7 linked regions of the Mus musculus genome follow. The protein of the gene in region 3 purifies or fractionates together with the protein of the main gene of each other region. This does not show direct contact. Links are inferred from orthologs where the notes say so. Each region holds a gene or a part of one and is shown on either strand. Other genes may lie near its edges.

Evidence for each region.
Region 1: the proteins of Dnajc7 (region 3) and Dnajb1 purify together in Homo sapiens (affinity purification with mass spectrometry; 3 studies listed by BioGRID and IntAct, with this or other methods). This does not show direct contact. The link is inferred for Mus musculus from reciprocal best matches to the Homo sapiens genes DNAJC7 and DNAJB1.
Region 2: the proteins of Dnajc7 (region 3) and Vps13b purify together in Homo sapiens (co-immunoprecipitation; 3 studies listed by BioGRID and IntAct, counting the BioPlex papers as one, with this or other methods). This does not show direct contact. The link is inferred for Mus musculus from reciprocal best matches to the Homo sapiens genes DNAJC7 and VPS13B.
Region 4: the proteins of Dnajc7 (region 3) and Pld2 purify together in Homo sapiens (affinity purification with mass spectrometry; 3 studies listed by BioGRID and IntAct, counting the BioPlex papers as one, with this or other methods). This does not show direct contact. The link is inferred for Mus musculus from reciprocal best matches to the Homo sapiens genes DNAJC7 and PLD2.
Region 5: the proteins of Dnajc7 (region 3) and Stub1 purify together in Homo sapiens (affinity purification with mass spectrometry; 3 studies listed by BioGRID and IntAct, with this or other methods). This does not show direct contact. The link is inferred for Mus musculus from reciprocal best matches to the Homo sapiens genes DNAJC7 and STUB1.
Region 6: the proteins of Dnajc7 (region 3) and 2610507B11Rik purify together in Homo sapiens (co-immunoprecipitation; 3 studies listed by BioGRID and IntAct, counting the BioPlex papers as one, with this or other methods). This does not show direct contact. The link is inferred for Mus musculus from reciprocal best matches to the Homo sapiens genes DNAJC7 and BLTP2.
Region 7: the proteins of Dnajc7 (region 3) and Vps13c purify together in Homo sapiens (co-immunoprecipitation; 4 studies listed by BioGRID and IntAct, counting the BioPlex papers as one, with this or other methods). This does not show direct contact. The link is inferred for Mus musculus from reciprocal best matches to the Homo sapiens genes DNAJC7 and VPS13C.

The regions. Positions count from the first base shown.
Region 1 is NC_000074.6:83,606,795-83,610,974, reverse strand, and holds the start of Dnajb1 (dnaJ homolog subfamily B member 1), read right to left. Parts: upstream 2,801-4,180; 5' UTR 2,644-2,800; coding exon 2,433-2,643; intron 2,428-2,432; exon of another isoform or gene 2,215-2,427; intron 1,162-2,214; coding exon 581-1,161; intron 387-580; coding exon 156-386; 3' UTR 1-155. UniProt on the Homo sapiens protein: Interacts with HSP70 and can stimulate its ATPase activity. Stimulates the association between HSC70 and HIP. Negatively regulates heat shock-induced HSF1 transcriptional activity during the attenuation and recovery phase period of the heat shock response.
Region 2 is NC_000081.6:35,909,618-35,913,117, reverse strand, and holds part of Vps13b (vacuolar protein sorting-associated protein 13B), read right to left. Parts: intron 2,972-3,500; coding exon 2,169-2,971; intron 1-2,168. UniProt on the Homo sapiens protein: Mediates the transfer of lipids between membranes at organelle contact sites. Binds phosphatidylinositol 3-phosphate. Functions as a tethering factor in the slow endocytic recycling pathway, to assist traffic between early and recycling endosomes.
Region 3 is NC_000077.6:100,582,318-100,585,472, reverse strand, and holds the end of Dnajc7 (dnaJ homolog subfamily C member 7), read left to right. Parts: intron 1-417; coding exon 418-491; intron 492-774; coding exon 775-921; intron 922-1,109; coding exon 1,110-1,262; intron 1,263-1,816; coding exon 1,817-1,879; intron 1,880-2,336; coding exon 2,337-2,374; 3' UTR 2,375-2,655; downstream 2,656-3,155. UniProt on the Homo sapiens protein: Acts as a co-chaperone regulating the molecular chaperones HSP70 and HSP90 in folding of steroid receptors, such as the glucocorticoid receptor and the progesterone receptor.
Region 4 is NC_000077.6:70,538,917-70,543,071, forward strand, and holds the start of Pld2 (phospholipase D2), read left to right. Parts: upstream 1-1,355; 5' UTR 1,356-1,698; intron 1,699-1,928; 5' UTR 1,929-1,929; coding exon 1,930-2,038; intron 2,039-2,146; coding exon 2,147-2,277; intron 2,278-2,380; coding exon 2,381-2,523; intron 2,524-2,898; coding exon 2,899-3,004; intron 3,005-3,084; coding exon 3,085-3,150; intron 3,151-3,667; coding exon 3,668-3,726; intron 3,727-3,844; coding exon 3,845-3,937; intron 3,938-4,026; coding exon 4,027-4,155.
Region 5 is NC_000083.6:25,830,134-25,834,360, reverse strand, and holds Stub1 (STIP1 homology and U box-containing protein 1), read left to right. Parts: upstream 1-1,441; 5' UTR 1,442-1,507; coding exon 1,508-1,669; intron 1,670-2,116; coding exon 2,117-2,315; intron 2,316-2,399; coding exon 2,400-2,565; exon of another isoform or gene 2,566-2,729; coding exon 2,730-2,817; exon of another isoform or gene 2,818-2,995; coding exon 2,996-3,052; exon of another isoform or gene 3,053-3,142; coding exon 3,143-3,259; exon of another isoform or gene 3,260-3,350; coding exon 3,351-3,476; 3' UTR 3,477-3,727; downstream 3,728-4,227. Other genes in the region: Jmjd8 (jmjC domain-containing protein 8 precursor), read right to left, coding at 3,771-3,851, 3,927-4,061, 4,155-4,222. UniProt on the Homo sapiens protein: E3 ubiquitin-protein ligase which targets misfolded chaperone substrates towards proteasomal degradation.
Region 6 is NC_000077.6:78,278,754-78,282,253, reverse strand, and holds part of 2610507B11Rik (protein KIAA0100 precursor), read right to left. Parts: intron 3,208-3,500; coding exon 3,050-3,207; intron 2,546-3,049; coding exon 2,339-2,545; intron 1-2,338. UniProt on the Homo sapiens protein: Tube-forming lipid transport protein which binds to phosphatidylinositols and affects phosphatidylinositol-4,5-bisphosphate (PtdIns-4,5-P2) distribution.
Region 7 is NC_000075.6:67,944,851-67,948,350, reverse strand, and holds part of Vps13c (vacuolar protein sorting-associated protein 13C), read right to left. Parts: intron 2,865-3,500; coding exon 2,715-2,864; intron 2,528-2,714; coding exon 2,263-2,527; intron 235-2,262; coding exon 74-234; intron 1-73. UniProt on the Homo sapiens protein: Mediates the transfer of lipids between membranes at organelle contact sites. Necessary for proper mitochondrial function and maintenance of mitochondrial transmembrane potential.

The sequences.
Region 1 (4,180 bases), on a different chromosome or scaffold from region 3:
GTGCGCGACTTTGAAAGATTGTAATATATTCTGTGGAAAACATTCGGCAGAGCAAAAGCCCTCCCTGGGCCCTCCCGCAGTATGCAACCAGTGGAACGGTCTGGAGATCTGCAGCTCTGAAAGCCCCTGGCTCAGTCCTTGAGGAGTGCAGGTGGCTATATGGGAAGAACCTGCTCCAGGATGGTTCTGGATGAGACGGGAATCCTTTCCGGGAAGATCACTTCAAACTCGATAACAAGGTCTCCACGTTTCTCAGGTGTTTTGGGGAGAGGGAGGCCTTCTCCAGGGACTTTCCGCCGCATACCAGGCCTGATGACATCTTTGAATACAACAGGGATGGTCCTGCCGTCCAGAGTAGGGACATTCACAGTGCAACCACAGAGAGCCTAGGGAAGCAAAAGGACAGTGTCAGGCAGTGGCTGGCTTAGGAGCTTCACTCCTCCAGACCGTCCGGAGAAGGGTCAGGTCTACCAGACCAGGCCCGCTGACACCCCACTCCAAAGCCCCCCCAACCCCACAACCCATTATTCTCACAGCAGCCATCTCTTTTTATGACTCCTCCACCCACCTAGCACCTTACCTCCCGAAGGCTAATCCTGGCTGGATAGATGACATCAGAACCATCTCTCTTGAAGATATTGTGTGGCTTGTCCTTTAAAACAAAGACGATGTCTGCTGGAATGTTGTTCGAGGTCTGGTCCCCTTCCTTGGGAAAGGTGATTTTGGTCCCTTCTTTCCAGCCCCTCTTCACTTCGATGGTCAGGATCTTATCTTCATTTCGAATGCTCTTTCCATCAGGGTTCAGCCGCTTGTGGGAGATTTTCATCTTCTTGGTACAGCCGCTGTAGATCTCTTCAAGGGAGACCCGAAGGTCATGGGTGACTGGAGGATCTTGCTTCTTCCGGGTGGGCTCTTGAGAAGGGCGGGAACGTCCAAAGTTCATGTTGGTGAAGCCACCCATACCCATTGGAAAGCTAGAGAATGTGTCATCAATGTCCATGCCTTCTTCCCCGTTGCGCTGCCCAAAAAAGGTATCAAAGGGGTTTCTGCCACCGAAGAACTCAGCAAACATGGCATGGGGGTCTCCGTGGAATGTGTAGCTGAAAGAGGTACCATTAGCACCACCACTGCTTCCTCCACTGGGGCTACCACCCTTCAGGCCTGGAAACCAAAACCACAAGTCAGGGTTACTGCTGGAGAGTCAGCCCCACCTCCCTCCACCCCCAACACTTCAACACACTTATAAAACATAAAACCCCTGAAACAAAGAGCTCAGAACCCCAGCACTCTCAAGACAAGTGCAGACTGATCTCTGCAAGTTCCAGACAAGCCAGAGCTCCACCATGAGGTGCTGGAGAAATGGCTCAGAGCACTGGCTCATCTGGCAGAAGAACCAAGTTCAATTTCCAACACCTACATAGCAGCAGACCATGGTCTAACTCTAGTTCCGGGACCTTTAATGCCCTCTTCTCTAGAAGCATGTGAATGGTATACACATATACACGGAGGCACACGCTCAAATAAATTGAAAAACAAAGTTCCAGCAACAGTGAGGTCCTGTCTCAAATAAATGGTCACATTTTGTTCCTTTTGCATGTATTACTGTCAATGCCACGTAACACACAAACTTTCGTCCAGAGTAGCCTCAAGGCAATCCTCCTGACTCAAATACCCCAGAGGGGGGATTGTCACAACATCCGGTTCCTTTGGAAACAGGAGCTTATTACCCTGTAGCTCTGATTTGAAGCAAATTCACAGCGTTCCTAATTCGGTTTCCCATGTGGAGGTGTGAGCCCCCGCACTCTGCTCAACAAGTTTTGCTCTTAGTAAAAAGGCCACAGGAACTATAGCGGGAGGGATTTTATGTATATATTAAAAAGCTTGTTAGTCAAGGACGAATCTCAAGTCTTTTAACTCCCAATGGCAATAGGAGCAAGAAACACACTACTCCGTTTTACTTCCTGACAACATATTCGGTAGTAAGGCCTCTAGATCTCGGTGCGACCAGGTTTACGTGACTGCTCCATCCTCCCAGCTATGCTGTTACCATCTTACAGAGAAGCTCCTACGCACTGTTACCAAAAAGGCTCAACCCTGGGTGAGCGAACACTGAGCTTGCGGCTAGGAAAGAGAATCAATACTCGGGCAATTTTCATTCCCATCGCGACCGCCGCCCTCCATCTGCACCATTCCGGCGCTGTGCAGGCGACCGACCGGGAGGGGCTGCGGCAGACGTGCTAGAAGCTTCTGTGCCAGCGGCGCGCCCAGAGCTCCTCCTCCTGTCTGAGGCCGCGGATCAGAGGGTGAAGGAGGCGGCGCCGCCGCTAGATCCCCGGAATGCCTGTCCCCGGCCGAGGTCTTGGAGAGGCTCCGAGTGCCTCGGTTTCCCCGCCTGTCAAACGGCGGGTCACCCCGGCCGCGCGCACACGTACCTTCCTCTCCATAGCGGTCGAAAATCTCGCGCTTGCGCGGGTCGCTGAGCACGTCGTAGGCCTCGGCGATCTCCTTGAACTTCTCCTCAGCGCCGGGCTCCTTGTTCTTGTCCGGGTGGTAGCGCAGCGCCTGGCGGCGGTAGGCTCGCTTGATCTCGTCGTCGGACGCGCCGCGGGCCAGGCCCAGCGTCTGATAGTAGTCCTTGCCCATGGCCACCGCCGCCCAGCTGTCGCCGCCTCCGGCTCCGCTGCTGCCCCGTCCCGGACTCTATATACCCGTCCGGCGGAAGCTTCCAGATCCCGCCAGCCCTCCAGAACCTTCCGCCCCTCCCGATGCGCCGCACGACACCGGCCAATCGCTGCGGCCCGCTCCGTGACGCAGCACATCCGGGGTGGGACCCGGCTGCCAACGGCTTTCCGCGCGGGGCCACGCCCCTTCCCTCTCTACTCTGGTCAACGCCTTCCTCGGGCGCGCGCGCCGGCTGCTGGGGTTCCGCCTCCGTAGCGGATCCAGCCAATCGCAACCCTCTCTCTCTCTGCGGACAGGTGGAGGCGCGAAGAGGGGCGGGGCTACAGAGACGGGCCTCTCCGAAAGGCCGCACCCTTTCCCCCAGGTTATCGCCGGCTGGGAGGTTCTGCTGCGTGACTTGTGGTAGCTACCTGACAAGTACCTCTAAGCTTTCCTGCTCTAACCCAGGGATAAAAATAGGCACCCCGCCCTCTTCTGCCCGTAGCCCTTGGTTTTTCCCGTAAGGCCGTTACTGTAAAGCGAGGTGAGACTGGTCTGCCTTGGGCTTGCTGCAGTCGGGCTGCCTCTCCGGTTTATCTTACTTCCTACTAATTCCTACTGGGTTTAGCTCGCCTCTTGGCGTTCTGATACTTGTCACTTCCTTTGCCGTCTGAGTTTACCACCAGGGCTGCGTGATTTTTTTAAAGATCCACTGGGTGCTTCGTAAATATTTCCAAATACTTTGATATAGTATAGCTTTTTGCTTTTGGTTTTGTAAGTCTGGGATGATGGCGGTCAAGGACGGAGCTGAGTGAGGAAGAGGAGAGAGCTTCAGATATTGGAAGGCATAGAGAAGCTGGAATAGTCATTGGTGGTTCTTGCAGGGAATGGGACTGCCTGAAAGTGCATGAAAGACTGACTCTCATCCTAGCACTTTCTGGCTGTGTGACCTTGGGTTGGTAGAGTAGCTTTTCTGGTCTCAGTGTGGTCATCTGTACAAAGGGAATGGTCGTGGAATATGGTGAAGTTGACATTATTCTGCATTTGTTAAAGACAAGGGACAAAGGGTGTTCTTGAAAGAGATGATTAATCATCTTGTTTAGTGGACAACTGTTGACATTCCCTTTCTGGAAGCTCTGTAGGAGGAGAGTCAGATAACCCTTGCCCTAGGCACCCCTGAGAAAAATGACTTTAGCCTTCCGTTAATGGTATAGCTGTGTGTGGTGTATGTGTTTTGATTTTCCTAACTGTACTGACCCCATGAAAACCGAACCAGTTGAGCCCTGCCCCCCGCCTCCCCATGGATTTGGAGCTAGGGAACACTTGTAGAGAAAGTGTCTTTAAAGGTACAGAGACAGAGATAGTGAGCTGGCAGTGGTGGTGCATGCCTTTAATCCCAGCACTTGGGAGGCAGAGACAGGCGGATTTCTGAGTTCGAGGCCAGCCTGGTCTACAAAGTGAGTTCCAGGATAGCCAGGGCTATACAGAGAAACCCTGTCTCGAAAAAAAACAAAAACAA
Region 2 (3,500 bases), on a different chromosome or scaffold from region 3:
CCATCTGGCTGCTGAGAGTCCTTTCCTATTCTTCCTAACCATATGGAAGGTGTACCGCTGATCAGTAAATCTGTGATCAGTAAAGCCTGAAGCCACCAGAGGGCTGTTTGTGGATGGAGATTCCACTTGGTGGCATCCAGGCTAGACAAAAAGACAGAGAGTATACAAGGATGCTCTTTACTCTTTTCTCAGAGGTGAGTGAAGTGGCCTCAGCACCCAGCAGGCATGGGTTCCAGACTCGCCGTCGAGCTTTGGCCACCTGCACTACACTGACATTGCCTGAGTGTGTACTGCTGTATAGTGCACAAGCTGTGCCCAACGTGCTGCTGACTTTAAAATGTTTACTACTACTCCTAATTTATGTGGCTGTGGGTGTGCAAAGGTATACACCTGTGGCGGCTAGGGGACAACTTGTAAGTCCTTTCCTTCCACTCTTACCCACTCAACTGGACAGCGGCCATCTTGCTGGCCTATTTATTCTGCATATTTAAGGGATAAATGGCAAGAACACACATAATTCTTCAGTATTTTCAGGCTACAAGTAGTTGGATCTGCAGATGTGAACCCAAGGATGCAGAGGTTCATCTGCATATTTTTGGCTTAGTTGTTTGGAAATCTTGTGGGTGATCTGAGTCTATGAGAGTGGGAGCTGGAGGTAGGCAAGAACCTTGAGAAATTCTCAAGCCCACATTCCTCCCTTTGAATGGAGCTACTCATTTCTAGTTAGCAGTTATGGGTTTTTAAAGCCTCTTCAAATGACTCCACAGACTTCCCCAGAAATGAGGTCATGGTGTTTTAAGCATCCCAGCCAGGAACCTTGAGTCCAGTGGGTAAATGCAGCCCTAAGTGAGATGGACACAACCCACTCCCTCCTGGCTAGCCCTCATCCGTTCTCTACAGGAATGCTAGTCCATTCTCTTTGGGCCTGCCAGCCACCCTCCCCGTGGCCTTTCTATTTCTCAATGCTCCAATGACTTTTCTTTCAAGTAATATTCAGTTTTAGTGACAATGTTTTCAATTTCAATTTCAGCTTTGGTGTTAAAATTTCTTTCCTGCTGTATATTGAAAATGAGACAATCACAGGATTTCTAACTATAAGAAGGCCAGAGAGAATGTTCACATGAGATCCCTCAGTCCCAGTAAAACAAGGCAGTAGGTTTCGCACAAAGCCTATGGAGGCCATGGTTACCCGGGCACAGGTGGAATCTGTCCTTTAGGCCAGCTTCCTAGCTTGGTGTCAGCTGTGACCGCAGGGAGTCCTCCTCCTCTTTTGACCTCTGACTAAAGAGCTGATATATGTCAGTGTACCAGAAGGGTAAGTGTCTGGGGTACTTTACAGAGATATACATGTCTATTCAGTTTGAAATATTCCTCATTATTTTTAAATGGCTCCTTGCTAAGGAGTCATTTAATTTCTTCATTATTGTGCAAACTATCCAAACAACAGGTCATTTAAGGCTCTCAGCTGGAGGCTGTCCTTTTTTTTCTATGGTGCAGCCAACCTGTTCCTGATCTCTATGTATTTCATTATGGAGACGGTTTAATCTTACCCATGTAGCATGACTACTGGCCTCTTACTAATGGTAATACAGTCATTTGTTGCCACAGCCTGAATAGGCTATGGGAATTCATTCACCAAGAACAAGGTTATCTCGTGCAGGAACTCATCCTGAACAAAGCCAAGTGTGGATGCTGCTCTGATAACTGTTAGCACCTTGGGAGCAGGCTAGCACCCTCTATCTAAGACTGACCCTGAGTCAGGAACACATGCCCTACAGAGGATGACTGTCAAGTACCACAGGGAGCCCGATTTTCATGTTTGCACAGAATGCTCCTCACGGAAGATTCTGTACTCACATCAAACACTCCTTGTAGGCTCTTCCAGCCAGATGGGAAACAGAAGTCTTATTTCTCTCCTTGGTCCCTAGTGTAAACCATCCCATAGCCTTTAAAATCCACTTTACAGCTGAAGATGCAGGCTCAAGAGTTCGATATTCACCCAAGGTTTACACTGAACATTCAGATCTAGATCCAGTTCTGTTAGCTGTGGCCCTATCACCCAGGCCTACCTGCTTTCCCGTGTGTTGTGTAACAGACAGCCCCCTGCCACAATGGACCACTTCTGTCCAGGTGCTAGCCCGCCACAGACCCTTCCCTTGCATCCTCACCTGCTCTGAAAAGAGCCCCAGCAGCATAGTGCATGGCCAGTGCGTGCACCAGCTGCCTTGCTGTGGTGAACACTGGTCCTCTTTCAAACACAGAGAAGGAGAGAGGGGTGTGGTCGGAGGCTATGTACAGCTTCAGGGAGGCATGGATGCTGATGAGCAGGTTCACTGGCTGGATGAGCAGCTTCCGTAACTTCACTGCGTTCACCAATGCCTTGGCGTGCTGTGTCACCTGCACAGGCAGCACCTGCTGCCCTGTGAACAGCTGTGCATGGTGACCAGACATCCTGCTGGGAGGAAGGTAGGTGTCAAACAAAGTTTTGATGTAGTAAACAAAGGTGTCCTCCACATACAGCCGTGCTGGCTTCAGTTCAAAGGTGAACTCGCTGACATCGAGGAGGATGTCCTTCCCCTCAGAGACAGTGAGGCAAAGTTTGATGAAGCAATTCTCCTTGTATTCTTCCAAGGCTTTGCTGGAGACCAGGAGACTCTGCACCCTGGAATACTGAGCAGGGTCTGTTCTCTCTCCTTGGCAGACCAAGACAGCAAAATGGAAATTAGACTTGTTATAAAGCTGGTTGTCCAGCTGCAGGTCTCCGCAGTAGACTTCCACACCGTAAAGCTGGAAGAAGCTGGAGGGAGGCTCTTCCCCTGGGAGGAGAGCAGGCACAGGAGACACGTGGAGGAAAACATTGTCCAGGGTGAGCCTTAGCAGTTCCGATGGTGCCTGGTGTGTGAGGTCGTCAGACACTGCCAGGCTCAACTGGGTGATGAACATCCTGAAAGTGACCATCCTCTCCAGAGCTCTAGAGAAAGGGCAAAGCTTGTTAGTGTCTCTGGTTCCTTTCTTATTTCTGTTTTAGGACAGACTCTCATAACAAGGAAGAACTCAACACGTCTGGACAGAGCTAGCTACACTTGATGATTATTGGGAAATATTCCCACTGGGACTACTACAAGCACTTGTCATGTTTCTTTATGTGTTTTTTTTTCTCCAAACTCTTCATTTTATACACTAATTATCTATTATGATGATCATGGCAAAAAGAGAAATAACACTCCTTATATTAAAAAAGATGAGCTGAGCAGAAAAAGAGAGGTCAGCATGTCCCTATCAGCCCTGCACACGGCATGTACCTATCTGTACTGCACACGGCATGTACCTATCATCCCTGCACACAGCATGTACCTATCATCCCTGCACACAGCATGTACCTATCAGCCCTGCACACGGCATGTACCTATCAGCCCTGCACACAGCATGTACCTATCTGTATTGCACACGGCATGTACCTATCATCCCTGCACACAGCATGTACCTATCAGCCCTGCACA
Region 3 (3,155 bases):
TTCTAGTGGCTCAACTAACCCCACTTGTAGCCTTGGTTGGAACTGGCCCTGCATGTCTGGCACGGAAGGTGTCAAAGCTCTTTCACAGCAGTTTGTCTCACATGGTCATTTTTCTCTTGTTCAGAGCAGTCAAGTAGGTGCTGTCACAGTGTCTTTGCTGTTGGGCAGCGCTGTGACACCGAGAACTCCTCCTTAGCCCTTGCCTGCTTAGAGCAGGGGACTGCTGACTGGGTGCAATGCCAGCCTTGAGGCACTGAGAGTTCATTCATCTTCTTTAGATAAGGGATTCTGCTGTTTGATGAAACATCCTACCAAAAGTGTGTATCTCTTGCATGAGCCATACCTTCTCCCTAGAAGGTCCCACAGGCCGTTACTATTTATGTCTGAGTGCTGTATTACCCTGTACTTCCTTCTCAGTTACATGGACACAGAGCAGTTTGAAGAAGCCGTGCGGGACTATGAAAAAGTGTATCAGACGGAGAAAACAAAAGGTACGAGGACAAAGGGGCAGAGACGTGTTGCTCGGGGGGGCTGTGGTCTTCTCGGTTGTTGGTCGCAGCACTTAGGACCATTCCATTTGCTCACTAGCCTGGAAGCCAGCAGTTCCTGGGAGGGGCTCAGGCACCTGTGTTCTGGCTCTGTCTCCTCCCTGTTAGTCTCACTTCCTATATATTCAGAAGAAAGCACCAAAAGAGTCCCTGTTGTGGTTACCAAAGTTTCTACCCCTTAGGCAGGCAGCTGGGCTGTCTGTTGATGCTGCCTTTCTCCCTCCAGAACACAAACAGCTCCTTAAGAATGCACAGCTGGAACTGAAGAAGAGCAAGAGGAAAGATTACTACAAGATCCTGGGAGTGGACAAGAATGCCTCTGAGGACGAGATCAAGAAAGCTTACCGGAAACGGGCCTTGATGCACCATCCAGGTGAGCGCTGGAGGAGGTGCAGCAGAGCCCACAGCGCAGATGCAGTGGGCACCCAGGAGATCGCTCTTCAGTGGGAAGGAGGGGGTGCTGGACTCCCTGTCCTACAGGCTGTGGGAGGTGCCACATTCCAAACTTGGACAATAATAGACTTTGTTTTCCTGTGTCCCTGGTTTCACTGAATCCTCTAGATCGGCACAGTGGGGCCAGTGCCGAAGTTCAGAAGGAGGAGGAGAAGAAGTTTAAGGAAGTGGGAGAGGCCTTTACCATCCTCTCTGATCCCAAGAAAAAGACTCGTTATGACAGTGGACAGGACTTGGATGAGGAGGGCATGAATATGGGCGGTGAGTTGGTTTGGGCATCTACAATGAAAATGGTCCCTGTACCAGAAAAGCCCCCATTGAAGTTACCAAGGCTTCTGCCCTCGGGGCAGCTGGGTTGGGACACCCCAGAGGGGAGGTCTACAAGTACTCAGCCAGCGACATAAGCCAATAAATAGGCTGTTAAAAAAAAATGAGCTAGGGCAGGAGCCATCAGAACTGTTGTGACCTGGACTAAAGCGTCAGGGTCTCCAGGACTGGTACAGTGGCTTTGGTAACACTGAATTTGAGCCTTCTCAGCACGGCCCCAGCATTATAGGAGGGCAGATGCAGATGGCGTTCCTAGCTAGGTAAGAAGCCCACTCGGAGGCAGGGGAAGCTTCCCTTCTAGACTTCACCCGGAAGGGCACAGATCCCAGAAGCAGGGTCAGCAGGTTCTGCCTGGCTGACATGGGGAGAGGCTTGCTAACATCTAGGCTGAAATGGAAGAGCAGAGTGAGCCTCAGAAGTCTTCTGCATCAGGTTCCTCAGATCTTTCTGATTTCCCCCTTTTTTGCCCTTTCCTTCCTAATTACCAGATTTTGATGCAAACAACATCTTCAAGGCATTCTTCGGTGGTCCTGGGGGCTTCAGCTTTGAAGGTAGGTTTGCCTGCTGCTCGCTCTTAGGAGCTCCCAGGTGACAGACCAGCACTGGCCCCTCACTCAGCAGCACCTGGGGAATCTGAGTGGAGACAGCTGGATCCTTGTTCAGCAGGACAGGTGTCTATGCTCGTGTGGCTGATGAGGCTCCTGGGTTTATTTTTCTTGGGACCATTCTCAGTGCAGTTAGCAAAGTCAGAGAAGCATCCCCAAGCCCCGTAGTGTCATGCCTTCTCCATAAGAGCAGGGGTGTTGAGAAGCTACACACAAAGTGCGCTTCAGCCCAGTGGTAGGGCGCTCACCCTGCATGCTGGCCCTTGTGCTCTAGGCTTAGACTGCCTGATACCCTTGGAGTCTCTGTTTGGATTAAGCTGCTCTTTAAGACTTTGGTATAACAACAGTGGTTTTCCTAAGAAAACCACAGAGCCAACTAACAAGCCTTTCTTTTTCCTTTCAGCATCTGGCCCAGGGAATTTCTACTTTCAGTTTGGCTAATGAAGGCCAACTACTTAAAACCCAGAAAATGCAGACTTGCTTGGTTTAACCATGAGTGTGGACAGTTCACTTCCTCCATCATGTCCCTGTGTACTTAGAGCAGTTTCGTTTTCTCAGTCGGGTGCCCTGTGTCTGTATGAGGGGTGAAGGAAAGGGGGCCAGTGCTGAGGACTAGGGAGGGAGGGAAGCCAGGGGTAGACAGGGAAGCAGGCAGCTTGTGAATTTTTGTTGTATTGTTTAACTTTATTAAAAAAGAAAAAGAATAAAATGTTTTGACCGTTCTTTGGTCCTTGGCTTTGGCAGCTGCTCTGTACCTGAGGTTCTTCCAAGAGCATAGGCACCAGGTGTTGTATGAGTGTGTGTGTGTGTGTGTGTGTGTGTGTGTGTGTGTGTGTGTGTGTGTTTTCTCACTATGTAGGCTCAGGCTAGAGCAGTCCTCCTGCCTCAGCCCTCTCCAGTGCTGGGATTAAGGTATAAGTCACCACACTGTCCGGCTCCTATAGCAGGGCACTGGAGCTTGAGGGATATGGACAAGAGGACAAAATTCTGCTCCTGCCTGCCAGTGGTGGTGCATGTTTTTAATCCCAGCACTTGGGAGGCAGAGGCAGGTGGATTTCTGAGTTCAAGGCTAGCCTGGTCTACAGAGTGAATTCTGGGACAGCCAGGGCTACACAGAGAAACCCTGTCTCGAAAAAAAACAAAAAAATTCTGCTCTTTCAAAGCATGGCAGGCAGCTCCTGGTCTCGGGCCTTTGCTGGCTTAAGGCTCAAACTGTTGGAAA
Region 4 (4,155 bases), about 30 Mb from region 3:
AGGGTTGCCTTTCATGGTGTCTGTTCACAGCAGTAAAACCCTAACTAAGACAATAGGAAATACAGTTAACGCTGTTAATATTCAGAGATGTACAATTAAGACTGCAGTGGTAAACCTTTCAGACCACTCTAATGGATAACAGGAAGGATCTATGGAATTGAATGTGCACCGTGCTATGGAGCAGCTACAACAGAAGTACCATACACTGGTTTTTAGAAATATAAAATAGAAGAGCCATTTTGGAAAGTTTTTGTATTTAATTGTTTTCTCTATTTTGGCTTTGTGTGTATAAATGTTTTGTGTGTGCAGTGGCCACAGAGGCAAGAAGAGAACATCAGATCCCCTGGGGACTGCTTGGTGAGCAGCCATGTGGGTGCTAGGAATCAGACTCAGGTCCTCAGCTCATGCACAGAGCCATCTCTCCAGCCCCGGGGTTTGTTTTTTCAGCAGTGTTTTGCTGTGTAGCCTCAGCTGGTCTCAATGCCCAAGCTTCACAATACTCTCTCCAATTCTCTGTGCTGCTGAGCTACAAACTGCCAAGCCCAGACCTCGACAGCAAACAGTAAGTTAAACATACACTTATATGACCCAGTAGTTCCACTCTAGTTGTTTACAGAAGAGGAATTAAAATAATAAGTCCACAAAAATGACTGGCACATAAATGTTTATTGGAGGTTCATTTCCAGTGAACAAAACCTAAAACAATTCAAATGATGATTCAGCGGAAATTTGGAAGGGAAAAAAAGGACAGCCTTTAGGATCTGGGGAAAAAAAGTTTTTTCCAGACTGAAATTTACAGGCGATTAGGTTCCAGGTTCCGAAATTGGTCTGTTATTGTCGCTCAGTGTCGGGCTAATCACTCCTGCGTTAAAAGAGCGTTTCAAGAATGAAGAATGCGATTTCTCATACAGCAACGAACTTGGCAGTCACTCGGCTTTTTATGCTCTTATTACCTTCCATCAACAAAGGCTATCTGTACCGGGCCCACCAAGGGGACATCTGCAGGTCCTCGCAACCCAGGCCGTTCTGCCCGGATTCCAGGCAGTGCTGGGGACCAGACTACCCAATGGCCGCGCGCGCGCGCGCGCGCAGTAGAGGAATGTGCACTACGTGGATCGCACACTGGGGGGTGCTGGACATAGCCAGCAGGTGCCCCGAGGGCAGCTGGAGGAAGAAGACAGCCCTGGGGAGTGGGCGGCCTCCGGAGTGGGCGGCCCGGGCCCGGGCGTCTCTAACGCAGGGCGGGCAGAGGACGGCGGGGGCGGGACCCAGTCGACGCGACAGTCGTGGAGGTGAGCCCTGGGGGCCTTCCCGCCCCCCGAGGGCAGGCTCTGAACCCCGGCCCCGCCCCGGCCCTCTGGGGTGTAGGCTCCTGGCTGAGTTCTGCCTGCTTGCGAACCCGCACGGGCGCCGGGGTCCGCATCCAGGGTGCGGGGGCCCGGGACGTGGCGCGGCTGAGGTCCGGAGCCCCGGGAACCGGGCGGGGACGCTGTCGGGCTGGAGCTGCAACGGCCTTCTGACTCAGCCGCTCGTCCAGATTTCGGGATCTCTCTCCTGGGCGGGGAGCGCGCAACTTCCTCATTCCCGCCCGGACCCTTGCTTCCAGCCAGTCTGACCTGACTTCGAGCCTCGCTGTCACCAGGGCTCCTCCCTTGGACTTAACCTCGCCCCAGTTCGAGGCCATCCCACCTTAGCTAGGTGCTTTTTTGGACCTGAATTTGGAATGAGAAGCGGGGCTGAGAGGCTCTGGTTGAAGGCTGGGGGAGGGAATGGAGGTTGCAGGGGTGGGTGTTAGAGGGGCGTCGGTCTACAACCCTAGACGTTGAGAGTCACTGAGTAAGACGGGAGAGGACCGACCGGGGGCGTTGGATGGGGAAGGGGTGTTTCTGTAGGGCGAGTCCCTTCCTGAGGCTTCCTCATATTCCTAGGATGACTGTAACCCAGAAGAACCTCTTTCCCTATGGGGACTATCTGAACTCCAGCCAGTTGCACATGGAGCCAGATGAGGTTGACACTCTGAGGGAAGGAGAGGATCCAGGTATAGAGGGAGATGGCTCCCAGAGAGGGGAGATAGGGATCTGAGGCCTCCTGAGATCTTTACACCCTTGGGTTGTTTTGTTTTTGTTTTGCTTTTTTCCCCTCCCAGCTGATCGAATGCATCCCTATCTGGCCATCTATGACCTTCAGCCTCTGAAAGCACACCCCTTGGTGTTCGCCCCTGGGGTCCCTGTTATAGCCCAGGTGGTGGGCACCGAAAGATACACCAGCGGATCCAAGGTCAGTCACCAGCGGATACCAGGGAAGGCGAGAGAGGGAGTCCTGGCCCAAGTGGAGGCCTGGGTTGGGCCAGAAGACATATTTTAGATTTTCATATCCCCAGGTGGGAACCTGTACTCTATATTCTGTTCGCTTGACGCATGGTGACTTTACCTGGACAACCAAGAAGAAGTTCCGACACTTTCAGGAGCTGCATCGGGACCTCCAGAGACACAAAGTCTTGATGAGTCTGCTCCCTTTGGCTCGGTGAGTAGAACTCGGTTGCTTCCCGTGAAAGGCAGGTACTTCTCACCCCATGGCAGCCTCACTCACTCCTGTCTGTCTGACTCTTATCCCCTGGGCATTTTCCTTCCTCAGCTCTGTGCCGTGCCCCCTCCCTTGTCCCTGGTTCCCAGGAAACTTTCCCTGCTTGGATCTCCTCCATAGTACTGTGCCAATATTTTAGCCAGGCTGGATGCCCAGAATTGTCCTTAGCAACCCCCTCCTCCCAGTTGTCTCCATTCCCAGGACAGAGACCCTTTCTTTCTTCTGCCTTTCTTCTTTCTTTCTTTCTTCTGCTAGCCTTTCTTCCTCCAAGGCCCCGTCTCCAGCTCCTTCTTGAGTCTTCTCTCATCTCTGTAGCTTTGCTGTGACCCATTCTCCAGCCCGAGAGGCAGCCGCCGAGGATATACCCTCCCTACCCCGAGGAGGTTCTGAGGGCTCTGCCAGACACACAGCCAGCAAACAGGTATGCAGCAGGTCCTGTAGCAAGGTGTGCAGTATGCAAAAGGTTCTGGCTACATCTGTTTCTTTTCCGTCTCCCTTCAGAAATACTTGGAAAATTACCTCAACCGCCTCCTGACCATGTCTTTCTATCGCAATTACCACGCCATGGTAAGGTCCTGGATGCCTGGGTGGATCCTTCTCTCTCCCTCCTGTTTTTATTTTTTAATTAAAGATTTATTTATTATATGTAAGTACACTGTAGCTGTCTTCAGACACTCCAGAAGAGGGCTTCAGATCTCATTAGGGATGGTTGTGAGCCACCATGTGGTTGCTGGGATTTGAACTCAGGATCTCTGGAAGAGCAGTCAGTGCTCTTAACTGCTGAGCCATCTCTCTAGCCCACCTGTTTTTATTCTTAACAACAAAACAAAACAGGGTCTTACTGTAAAACCTGGGCTAGCCTTAAACTTTCTGTGTAGACCAGGCTAGCCTTGAACTGACCTAGATACACCTGCCTCTGCTCCCAAGTGCTGGTATTAGGTGTGTGCCAACATACCCTAGGATGCTTGTGTTTTTTGAAGTAGATGAGGATCATCAGATCCCCAGGGGACAAAGGGTGCAGAGTTAGTAGGGCAGGGGAGGCTGAAAGCCAAGTCTCCCCCTAAACTTATTTCTTCCTCTGCAGACAGAATTTCTGGAAGTCAGTCAACTTTCCTTTATCCCAGACCTTGGCTCCAAAGGACTGTGAGTGTGGGAACTCCTTACCCAGCCTTCAGCAGGCATAAGTCTCCATCTTCCTGCTTGAAAATAAAACTCGGTACAGTGTGCCTAGGGTCCCCAATGATCTTGCTTGTCCCTGTAGGGAAGGGGTGATCCGGAAGCGCTCGGGCGGGCATCGAGTTCCCGGCTTCACCTTCTGTGGCCGAGACCAAGTTTGTTATCGATGGTCCAAGAGGTGAGCAAGGGCTGGAGCTAAGGCATCAGTGGGCAGGAAGAGGGAGACCTGGAGGACCTGGATGATACCACACGGCCCTTCCGCTCCAGGTGGCTGGTGGTGAAGGACTCCTTCCTGCTGTACATGCGCCCGGAGACCGGCGCCATCTCATTTGTTCAGCTTTTTGACCCTGGCTTTGAGGTCCAGGTCGGAAAAAGGAGCACAGAGACGCGGTATGG
Region 5 (4,227 bases), on a different chromosome or scaffold from region 3:
CTCTGCACCTGACTTGAGGTGGTAGCTTTACTCCTGGCCATGGCCGGAATCCACAGGAGGTGGGGCCCCTGGGAAGAAACTGTGGACTTCCAGGTCAGTCCAAGTTCAGCAATCGTTTATTGTGCTACAAGAGCTTCCAATCTCCTGTTCTTTCAGCCTCCCTTCCAAACGCAAGCCCACAACAGAGCTAGGTTCACTTGGCCTGGGTCCTGTAATTCTTGGCAGGTCCTTGTGGGAGGCCCAGTCAGGGTGAAGGTCAGGCAGCAGGTCTGGGCATACATCTGCCCCCCAAGTTTGCACAAGACGAAGAGTCTACAACTCTAAGACACTCACTAGTGAGGTCCACAAGGGTTCTGGGGTCAAGTTACTAACCACCAGAACCATGATGGGGCCCTGGATGACCTCTCAGGCCCCGCTCAGCCCCGCTCAGAAAGGCAGTGAACTCTTGCACCTGGGCTAGAAACAGCAAGTAGTGCTTGAGTGTGTACTGGAGGGTTAGCAAGCTAGGAACTGTAGCCACCGCCTCTTCGTATATGAAAGCTGCAACCCCAGAAACCTCTGCCTCCAGGACCACTGCAAAGAGTGACAAGGAGGTTCTGGGGATAGCTTTTTTTGAGCTCCTAGAGCCCCCACCCAACTTGGGCAAAGATGCTACCTACTCACTCGAGGCAGTGGCAGAAACCACGCAGCGAAGTTTGACTGCGGCGCCCAGATCAGCAGAAAGCCGAGTTCTGCTTCTCCAAGTCCGGGGTTGGGGGTGTTAGCGGCCAACAGCTGATGCAGCAGCGGCTAGAAATGCCTCAACGACAGACCATGGGGTCAAAGGGTCTTGGTGCAGGCGCTCTCCAAGGAAACCAGCCGGCTCCGCCCTTGAAGAAGCTCCTCCCCATGACCGCGAGAAGGGCAAGAGTCCAGCCGTGCACCCGCAGCTACTTCTATAGCAACCGCAGAAGGTCCTTCGGTGTCAGCGTGTCACGTGCTTGTTTCTCAGCCATTAATGGCCGCAGGCAGCTCCTCCCGATTCCCGAGGAAGCCCCTCGAGAGCGGTCTGATCTGCGGGCCTCTCTTCTACCCTCAATTCCGCCTTCCTACCGGCGGTCCAGACGTTCCCAGGCTGTCGCGTGAGCCCGTGTGTGCCCTGGTGGTGCGCTAGGACCCGGGCCTAGTGACCGGCCCTCGGAAGGCCACTTCTCAATGACCGCTGCCACGTTCGCCCAGCTTGGGGCCGGAGGGCGGGGCTTGAGCGCCGATGGGCGGAGCCTTGGTCTGAGCAGGGTAGGTCTCGGTTACTGTAGGGCGGGGCCTGTAGAGCGCGGCGGAAGCTTCTCAGAGCTAAGGGAACTGGCTCAATCCACGAGGCTCCGCCTTTGCTCACGTGTCCCCATGCCAGCTCCGCCCCACACCGGAAGTTCCGGTGGCGGATCGCCGACCGGGCGGAGCTGATCGCTGCGCGGGCTGCGAGATCTAGGTGGCCGGGCGCGGAGCCCAAGCCGTGCCGCGCGGCGCCATGAAGGGCAAGGAGGAAAAGGAGGGCGGCGCGCGGCTGGGCACTGGTGGCGGCGGCAGCCCTGATAAGAGCCCGAGTGCGCAAGAGCTCAAGGAGCAGGGAAACCGGCTCTTCGTGGGCCGCAAGTACCCGGAGGCGGCGGCCTGCTACGGCCGCGCCATCGTGAGTGCGGGAGGGGCGGGGGCGGGGCCCGATGTGCCTCCCAGTTTTGTGATCCCGGACAGGGTTTCTGGCAGCCTGGACTCGATGGCTCGCTCGCTCCCCTGGTGCCCGGATTGCTGTTCCCGAGTCTAGGGCTGATTTGACTGGGAACTGGCGGGCGGGATGCTTGATTAAGTAAGACTAAGGATGACACCAGGAGCTCTTGCCCCTTGAGATTTCCAAGCCCAGAGCTTGTAGAGGGGTTGTGGGATTTCTCTCAAAAGCAGTTGGAGGCAAGAAAGCATGGCCAGAATCCAGAGCTCTTGATAATTCGGAAATCTCCAGTTCCTCTATTCCAGCCATGGGCCCCCAAAGCTGGAGCATTGACCAGATCATTGGCTTTCAGCTTGCTAAATGAGAGGGGATCAACTGAGCCCACACTCTTTGACGCCTGGTCTTGGTCCCCAGACTCGGAACCCACTTGTGGCAGTGTACTACACTAACCGGGCCCTGTGCTATCTGAAGATGCAGCAGCCTGAACAGGCACTTGCTGACTGCCGGCGAGCCCTGGAGCTGGACGGGCAGTCTGTGAAGGCGCACTTCTTCCTGGGGCAGTGCCAGCTGGAGATGGAGAGTTATGATGAGGCCATTGCCAATCTGCAGCGAGGTGGGCTGACAAGATGCAAGGTTGAGGGCACCTTGGGGGACCAGGATTGTTGACAAGTGTAACCAAAAGTGTCCACTCCCCTAGCCTATAGTTTGGCCAAGGAGCAGCGACTCAACTTTGGGGATGATATTCCTAGTGCCCTTCGCATTGCTAAGAAGAAGCGCTGGAACAGTATCGAGGAACGGCGCATCCACCAGGAGAGTGAGCTGCATTCATATCTCACCAGGCTCATTGCTGCTGAGCGAGAGAGGTGGGTCCCTCCCCCAGCAGACACTGAGTCACCAGCACAAGTGTTTTTATTGAAGGACAACAACCGGTACATGGGAAGCCCAGGAGGAAAGAGGCCTGAGATGGGGCGGGCTCTGTGATTTCCTGGTCAGGGCCATCACCAACTAGCTTCTGGTTAACCCTCAGGGAACTGGAGGAGTGTCAGCGGAACCACGAGGGTCATGAAGATGATGGCCACATCCGGGCCCAGCAGGCCTGCATTGAGGCCAAGCACGTGAGGGTGCCCCTAGTCCACATGTGGGTCATTGTGTGTGTGTTTGTGTGTGGCATGAAAAGTGCCCCAGCCTTTGGTGGATCTGTTGGCCCATGCATGACATGAGTGCCCTGGTGGACAGAGTGTGTGTGTCTGTGTGGAGACAGGAGTTGCCCACACATGGCACTCAACTCTGCAGGATAAATACATGGCAGATATGGATGAGCTCTTCTCTCAGGTGGACGAGAAAAGAAAGGTGAGGACCCCCGGAAGCTCATCGGCTGCTGCTGGTATGGTGACCCCCACAGCCCCCTCCAGTTCTAGACATTTTCCCCTTGTGCTATAGAAGCGAGATATCCCTGACTACTTGTGTGGCAAGATTAGCTTTGAGCTGATGCGGGAACCCTGCATTACACCCAGTGGTATCACCTATGACCGCAAGGACATTGAGGAGCACCTGCAGGTAAGGAGGGCCCATGGAGACCGGGCCATGGAGAGCCTTGGTACCCGGATCGGTATACTCAGGCCATTGAACACTCTTGACTCTGTTGCAGCGTGTGGGCCACTTTGACCCTGTGACCCGGAGCCCTCTGACCCAGGAACAGCTCATCCCCAACTTGGCCATGAAGGAAGTCATTGACGCTTTCATCTCTGAGAACGGCTGGGTAGAGGACTATTGAGGCCCCATGTCCTGCCTGGCACCCTGGCCCAGGAGGATCTGGAGACGGAAGCTCCAGTCCCTGTATAGTTTGTGTCCCTGGGCCTGCCCCCATCGGCCCTGCTGATGGGTTCTGAACTGCTCCCCTTCTCAGCATACCCCTTGCTGGACCATGAGCCTCCCTTGTCCCCCTTCTGGGCTGGAGAGTGGGTGAGGGTGGGCTGAGGTTGCTGCTGCTGCCACTGTCCTGTAATAAAGTCTGTGAGCACTACATTGGCATGTGCTGGTGCAGTGGGCTTGCCAGTTGCCTGTCTGGCTAGCCAAGGAAGGTAGAAATGAAGACACTGGTGTCCAGATTGAGTGTGGCATGCCACCACCGATCAGGAAAATACAGTACCTGGGAGAAAAGAAAAAAAAAATTTTGATTCATGGCTTTTTGAGTTAGCCCAACCCCCACCTACCAGCTACTGACTTCACCAGCCTGGATGGTACATTCTAGAGGCCGTGCTGACAGGGCTAGAGATGGGTATATTTCCAGCAGCCAGGCCAATGTGGTCTTGTTAGGGTGGAACTCAGGTGTCTTCTCAGGAGGGTAGAGGAACCAGCGCTGGAGGCAGGAGTGTAAGGTCACTATGTGTGCAATGGACTATAGACACCAGATTTACACACACACATAACACACACATAACACTGTACTGACCTTCCGACCATAGATAACCTCTGAGAAACCAGGCCCATGCCAGTGGAAGGGTACCCCAGATCCAGCTCCTGTG
Region 6 (3,500 bases), about 22 Mb from region 3:
AGGGATCTGACACCCTCCTTCTGGTGTCAGAGGGCATGCAGATGATATACAGACATTTAGGCAGTCACACATTAAAAAGTGGGAGAATTGACTCCACAAAACTATTATCTTTTAACCTCTAAAAACAACAGATCTCTCTCATACATACATAATAGGGCCTGAGTTTAAATCCTCAGTACCAATGTAAAAATCCAGGGAAGGCCACCCATTCCTGTAATCCCAGTTCTATGGAAGGTAGAGACAGAAACATTTTGGAGCATGCTAAATCCCAGCCTAGCTCCAATTTCAATGAAAGACCCTGTCTCAAGGGAATAAGGCACAACATGATAGACGTTTAATGCCCGTTCCTGTGGCCTCTGGGAATGCACAGGCACATATTTATTGCACACACATCACATGCTCACTTATACATACACCTACTTAAAAAGAAAACCATTCTGATATTGTCACTTTGGAGATCAGGGTAACTAACAGAATGAATGGCATGAAAAATCAAAGCAGTAAGATCAAGGCTTCAGGACTGGAGACATGTTTCAGTGGTTACGAACACTCACGGACTGCTCTTCCAAAAGATGAAGGTTCTATTCCCAGCATCAACTGGACATCTAACAACTTCTTGTAATTCTAAGTCTCATAAGATCTAACACTTTCTTCTAGCCTCTGCAGGCACCAAGCATACATTGGATACACAGACATACACGCAGGCAAAGTACCCATACATATTAAAAATAAATAAACATAAATAAGGCTTTAGGGGCTGGAGATGACTCGCAGTTAGAAGCACTTGCTCTTCTTGCAGAGGACCCAGATTTAGTTCCCAGCACTTATATGGCAGCTCACAATCACCTGTAATTAGTTTTAGACCTGACACCCTCTTCTGGTTCTTGAGGGCACTTATACATACATGGCAGACTCACAAACACATTTAAAAAAAAAAAAACTTACAAAAAAAATATATAAATGACACACACGAATATTTTAGAGATCCAGGATTTGGATGACGGATCTACTGAATCACAAAGTCACCTGGGGAAGAGAAAAATCATATTCTAACTCTAAGGATCTCTCCACTTTAATGCTAATGCAACTTAGGGGAGGGAAAAAAGCCTTCAACTATAAAAGGTGGCATTGCTTATAAATGCCCAGAAACTTCTGCCCACCTTTACATAGATAATTACCACTCCTACATCCCTATTTCTTTGGTGGTTATGGGGATCAAACCCAGGGCCTTATGCATAATAATCAAGTGTTACCACTGAGCCAGAACTCCAGCTAAGATACTTTCTGTGACTACCCCCAAGAATACTAGTAATAGACATGGTTGGTTAACTTCCTATGTGACCTAACCTGGCCATACTCGGCTTGACATCTGATCTAAATGTTCATCTGTGTCTGGCATCATTACACTTGAGGTTGCCTTGACTGAACCAGAAGTTCCTTTGCAGACATTCTAGCCAGGGACAAGAAGATCTACAAAAGAGGTTATCACTCTGGTTCATTTTATTATCATCATTCATGTTTTTTATTGTTTTTTTATCAGATATAACTGAATCCTTTAATTTATGTGCACACTTACCACATGTCAAATATATAAATGATAATATACAACACTAGCCTGATATGCCTCATGATCATCAACCCTCCGGTAAGTCTAAGAGCCTATCTTAGAAATTAAAATGTTCTACCTTAGCCAGTTGGTGGTAGCACATGCCCTTAACCCCAGGACTTGGGAGACAGAGGCAGGTGTATATCTGAGTTTGAGGTCAGTCTAGTCTACATAGCAAGTTCCAGGACAGCCAGGGATACACAGAGAAACCCTATCTTGAAAAACAAAAAACAATGATTGCTGAAACAATCATCTTTATGAAAGGCTATGAAAAAAAAACAAAAAACAAAAAAACAAACCCTTGGCTAGCCATGTGACACGTTTCCTGCACTACAGATGCTAAGGCAAAGGGATCTCCAGTTCCAGGCTACCTGGGCCTGAGACCAAACTGCATAGCAAGACTTGTCTCAAACTGACAAAAAAAGTTCTCAGATCCATTGTCTATTTCCTTAGTTGCCTGTTTGTGTGACGTTTATTAAGGGACTACAAACTAAAAAAGGAAAAAGTTCCTGTCTACTTACTCTAGTGCTGGTAAATGTAACAGTGCCACAGGAGAGAAAAGCACTAGTTCCTACAGCACAGAGGCTGCTCACAGTCACGGTATCAGCAGCTTCCTTTCCTACTAAGCAGAAAGGTAGGTACTATGAAGAATCTCCCAGTGGTTCTAGTTGAAGGGGCCAACTATAGAAAACTAGAGATATACAATGGACCTCCCCACCCAGGCTGACTAACCTCTAACCAGAGCTGTCGGCCATCCTGTTCAGTAGGGCTGCTTTCAGTGGTGGCAAAATACTGCATGCCATCTAACAGGCAAGTCCAGGAAGTCTTTTGTTTCAGTGTGTCACCATACCAAGCTGGATGGTGTTGGCACTGCAGCAACTGAGCTTTGGCAGCCGATACAATGACACAGCCTTCTGTCTCTGCTCCACGAAGAACCATCTATGTCAAGAGAAATGCAGTTTTAGACACAAAGGGGGCTGAGAAGGGTATTCAGATCACTGCTAACTCTAGCTTACAGAGCAAGCTTTATTGGGTTTTATACGTGGAAGTGTTACTCAGGAAACCTACAGAAAGGTACAAAGCTGAGTTCTCGCCACCCATTCTTCAGTTATACGTGGAGAAACATTGAGTTTAGCAATAACAAGCCCTCAGCACTCAGGAAACCAAGGCAAAGACAGCCAAGTTTGAGACCAGCCTGAGCCACACAGTGGGACCCCCTCCCAGCCCCCCTTTTTGAGGCAGGGTCTCACTATATTGTCTTCAAACTCAAAGATTCCCCCTGGCTCTGCCTCCCAAGAGCCTTCCTTGGGTTAAAGGTGTGAGCCGCCACATCCAACTTGTAGAATCCTAATTTTTTTTTTGTATTTTTAAAAAAATGATAGGGAAGTAAACATTTTTATTTGGGATCTATCTTCGTACTGGTTTCCTATTAAAAAAAGATACCTGGCAGTTAACCAGCTCAATAAGGCAGTTTCGGTTGTATATGTCATCTGTCTGGCAGGCAGCAATGCCACACAATTGGTCACTCATACCGGATTCCTCTTCTGTGAATACTACAAATCTGTCTGTCTCTTCAATCAGCTTCTGCAACATGTAAGCACCTGGCAAGGAAATCGGAAATGGGGAAAGGTCAGCGTCTCGAAGGGAAGGAGAACACATGCAGGACCACACTGAGCTTCTATTACTTCCTGTCTAGGTAAGGACTGAGCTACATCTTCAACCTGGAACACGGGTGCAGTTCACTCTATCCAACCCTTGACCCAAAGGATAAGATAAAAGCTATTTAGTTCCCCTCAGTGTTACTAAAAATAAAAGTGAACGATTTCCAATAAAAATAGAAATACCAGTTTAAATGGTGTTATTTTTGTTCCTAGGGTCCACATCCAGACAATGG
Region 7 (3,500 bases), on a different chromosome or scaffold from region 3:
ACCTCCCAATCTCAGCTAAATGACTGACCTCTGCCTAGCACCCACAAGGGGACACATTCCCTGACAGCATTACCTGCAGAGGTGAGCGAAGAGTGACAACCTTATTGCCTTCTGTTGCGTCAATCTGCACCAACACGGAATCCGAATGGCTGGCACTGGGGTTCCGCACATTATACAATCGTCGGCCAGGCCTGGCGACAGGAACACTAGCTACTTCTGTATAACCATATGGTACTGAAGAGAAGAGAAGTAAAAATATTTACCTTTCAATAATAACCAACCCTGGACCTGGAGAGATGGCTCAACAGTTATGGGCACATGTTGCTCTTGCTGAGGACCTGGGTTTGAGTCCCAGCACCCATATGGCCCTCACAACCATCTGTAATACCAGTGATAGGGTTAATACAGTGATCCGAGGTCCTCTTTTGGCCTCGAAGGACCCTGGGCATGCATATGGTACACAGACATACATGTATACAAAATACCATAAAATAAATAACAAATAAAATAGTAACACCTCACAATTAATAGCAAGGATATGTTTTCTCATCATTAGAAATATAAATGTTTTCCTAAGACTCTGAGATTAAAAAAAAGAAAAATAATAACTAATATAAAACTTTTGCTACAAGCAATGAGAAGGTAAGTGTGCTAAGACAAATAGAAAAAAAAATCATCCTGAGAGAGGTAACCCAGGCCCAGAAAGACGAAACTGGTGTATACTCAAGTGTAAGTGGGTATAAGTCATAAAGCACTGGGTATCTATGCTATAAACCACAGACCCAAAGAAGCTCAGTAACAAGGAGGGCCTAGGGAGGAGATGCTTGAATCTCACTGAGAAGGCAAAATAGAAAAGACACTGGGTATGGATAAAGGGAGAGGACTGGCTGGGGGAGGGGTAGGAATGGGAACAGCAGGAATAAGGTAGGTGGAGAAGGAAGGGAGAGAGAGAGTACTGAGAGAGACCTCTGGACTAGGGAGGGGGCACATCTTCGGAACAAGCTAGAAACTTGGACAATGGAAACTCCTAGAAATCTTTGAGAGTAGCCCTAGCTAAGACTGCAAGCAATGAGGGATGCGCAGCCTGAACCGGCCATCTCCTGTAACCAGGCAAGACTTCCAATGGAGAGATTAGGACACTAACACAGGCACAAAACCTTAGACCCACGATCTGTCCTGACTACAAGATGTGCAGGGGTAAAAGATGGAGCAGAATTTGAGGGAAAACCAATGACTGGGCCAGCTTAAGACCCATACCATGGGAGAGAGCCAAGCCCTGACAATATTAACAACAGTCTGCTACACTTGCAGATAGGAGCCTAGCAACTGATGGAAACTGATGCACAGACCCACAGCCAAACATTAGGCAGAGCTTGGGGATCCCTAAGGAAGAGGGCAAGGAAGGATTGTGGAACTAGAGGGGTTAAGGACACCAGAAAAAAAAAAAACTACAGAATCAGCTAACATCTACAAAATAGGGGCTCACAGGAACTGCAATGCCAACCAGAGAGCATGCCTAGGATGGACCTATGCCCTCTGCACATACGCAACAGTAGTTGTGCGGCCTGGTCTTCATATGGGACTCCTAAAGCGGGAGCAGGGGCTGCATCTGACAACATGTTAGATAATCCCTTGTCCCTAGCATGGCTGTCCTAGCTCAGTACAAGATGGGTATAGTCTTACTGCAAGGTGATATGCCAAAGTTGGTTGCTATCCAGGGGAGGCCTCCCTTTTCTGAGGAGGAGAGGGGAAGGGCAGATGGCCGGGGAGCTGAGGTGAGAGGGAGGGACTAGGAGCAAAGGAAGGAGGGGAAGCTGCAACCAAGATGTAAAGTAAATAAATAATGAATAAAAATATTGAGCATACAAATTAAAACAAAGTAAAATAAAAATTCAACTTTTTAAATTATTCTTTCAACTAGATAATAATTTCCTTGTCTTTGTAATGGTATCATTACCATGAATACCTTAGACTTCTGAGTATGGCCACTTTTCTCCCTTAACTGAATGTTCATCCTTTTTGAAACATAATGCTTATTTCTTAGGGCATAGAAATTAATAATCATGTTTTATAAGGTGCTTATTAATTAGAGTCTATCTTATGTTTAGAAGAAATCCAGAGGAGAATTATCAACTATTTATTGGAAACCTGGACAAATGTCTCCCAGGATATCTTTGGCGAAATAGTATTGGCTGACTTATCAAAACTGCGCTGTGCCATCCCTGCGAAGCTCTGAAAACACAGCAAGCGCAGCAACCATACCAAAGGTCAGTGTGAAGAGCGAGCTCTCCTGCCGGCTCAGGATGGACAGCTTCCCTTGGCGCGAAGGTTCCAGGCTGGCGTAGTCCAGCTCCAAGTGCTGACCAGCGCCCACGTCATAAATGTCACTCTTCTCAGGGGAGCCCATGACCTTGAGGTTACGATTGGGCTGCACCTTCATGGGGACACCCAGCGCATTTTTGACTGTAAAAGGAGCCCTGTCTTTCAGAGAGTAGTCAAACGTAGAAGCCGCTCCCTCGGAGAAACCCTGCAAAGGAACACAGCCCAGTAAGACCTCAGCGATGCACCTCTATGAGCACTTTACCATGGCTACATGCTTTCTGAAATTTATTTTGATGACAAAAACAAAAAACAAAAAAAACACACAAAAAAAATCTATACATGCTTCTTTCCTAAACACAACATGAAATATTCCACACTAGAATACCACATACTTTTGCTAAATTGCTGAAAACATTAAGACAGCTTTTGGATATTGTGATATTCATCGTAGCTCCTGAAGAAATATGAACTGCTGTTTGTGGCTCAGGAATAAAGTCATCTCCTGGCATCAAACTTTTATCCTGGATCGGGTTTTTCTTTACCTAGGAAGACAAACAGCGTACAGAATTGATCAGCCAACGAATCAATGGCAGCAATTAAAAGCTCTACCTGGAGGGATCCAGCTGAACTGGATATCTTAGAATACAGATCCTCAGGGTTTCATTTTCAACCACATGCACACCTCTCTGACTCAGCAAAGAATGGTAGCCTTCTCTCTGCACATAGGTCATGAATAGGAAATGCTCAGTACACTGCCGAGGAAGCCTGACAAGTCAGCCCCACCATTTGACTCCTTGCCAGAGCAAGCGAGCTCCTACAACAGTTCTGTGTTAATTAGCAATGAAGGTGACTCCAACTCTCCACTGACCCTGGCTATAGTCATCTGGAAATAAAAGGACTCTTCCTACTACTTCTTGGTAAATAATATGGTAAGCTTTCGGATCAAACTTATTCCAGATAACATTCACATTTTCATTCCAATAGCATTTCGAAACCTTTGCTAAATATTCTTTTTCAGTCTCATTATTCCAGAGAGAGGTAGACAGATATCATCTCTACTTTAGTCAGAAGGAATTGGGTTACAAGGTTAGTGATGGCGCACGGCTTTAATCCCAGCACTTGGGAGGCAGAGGCAGGTGGATTTCTGAGTTCGAGGCCAGCCTGGTCTACAGAGTGAG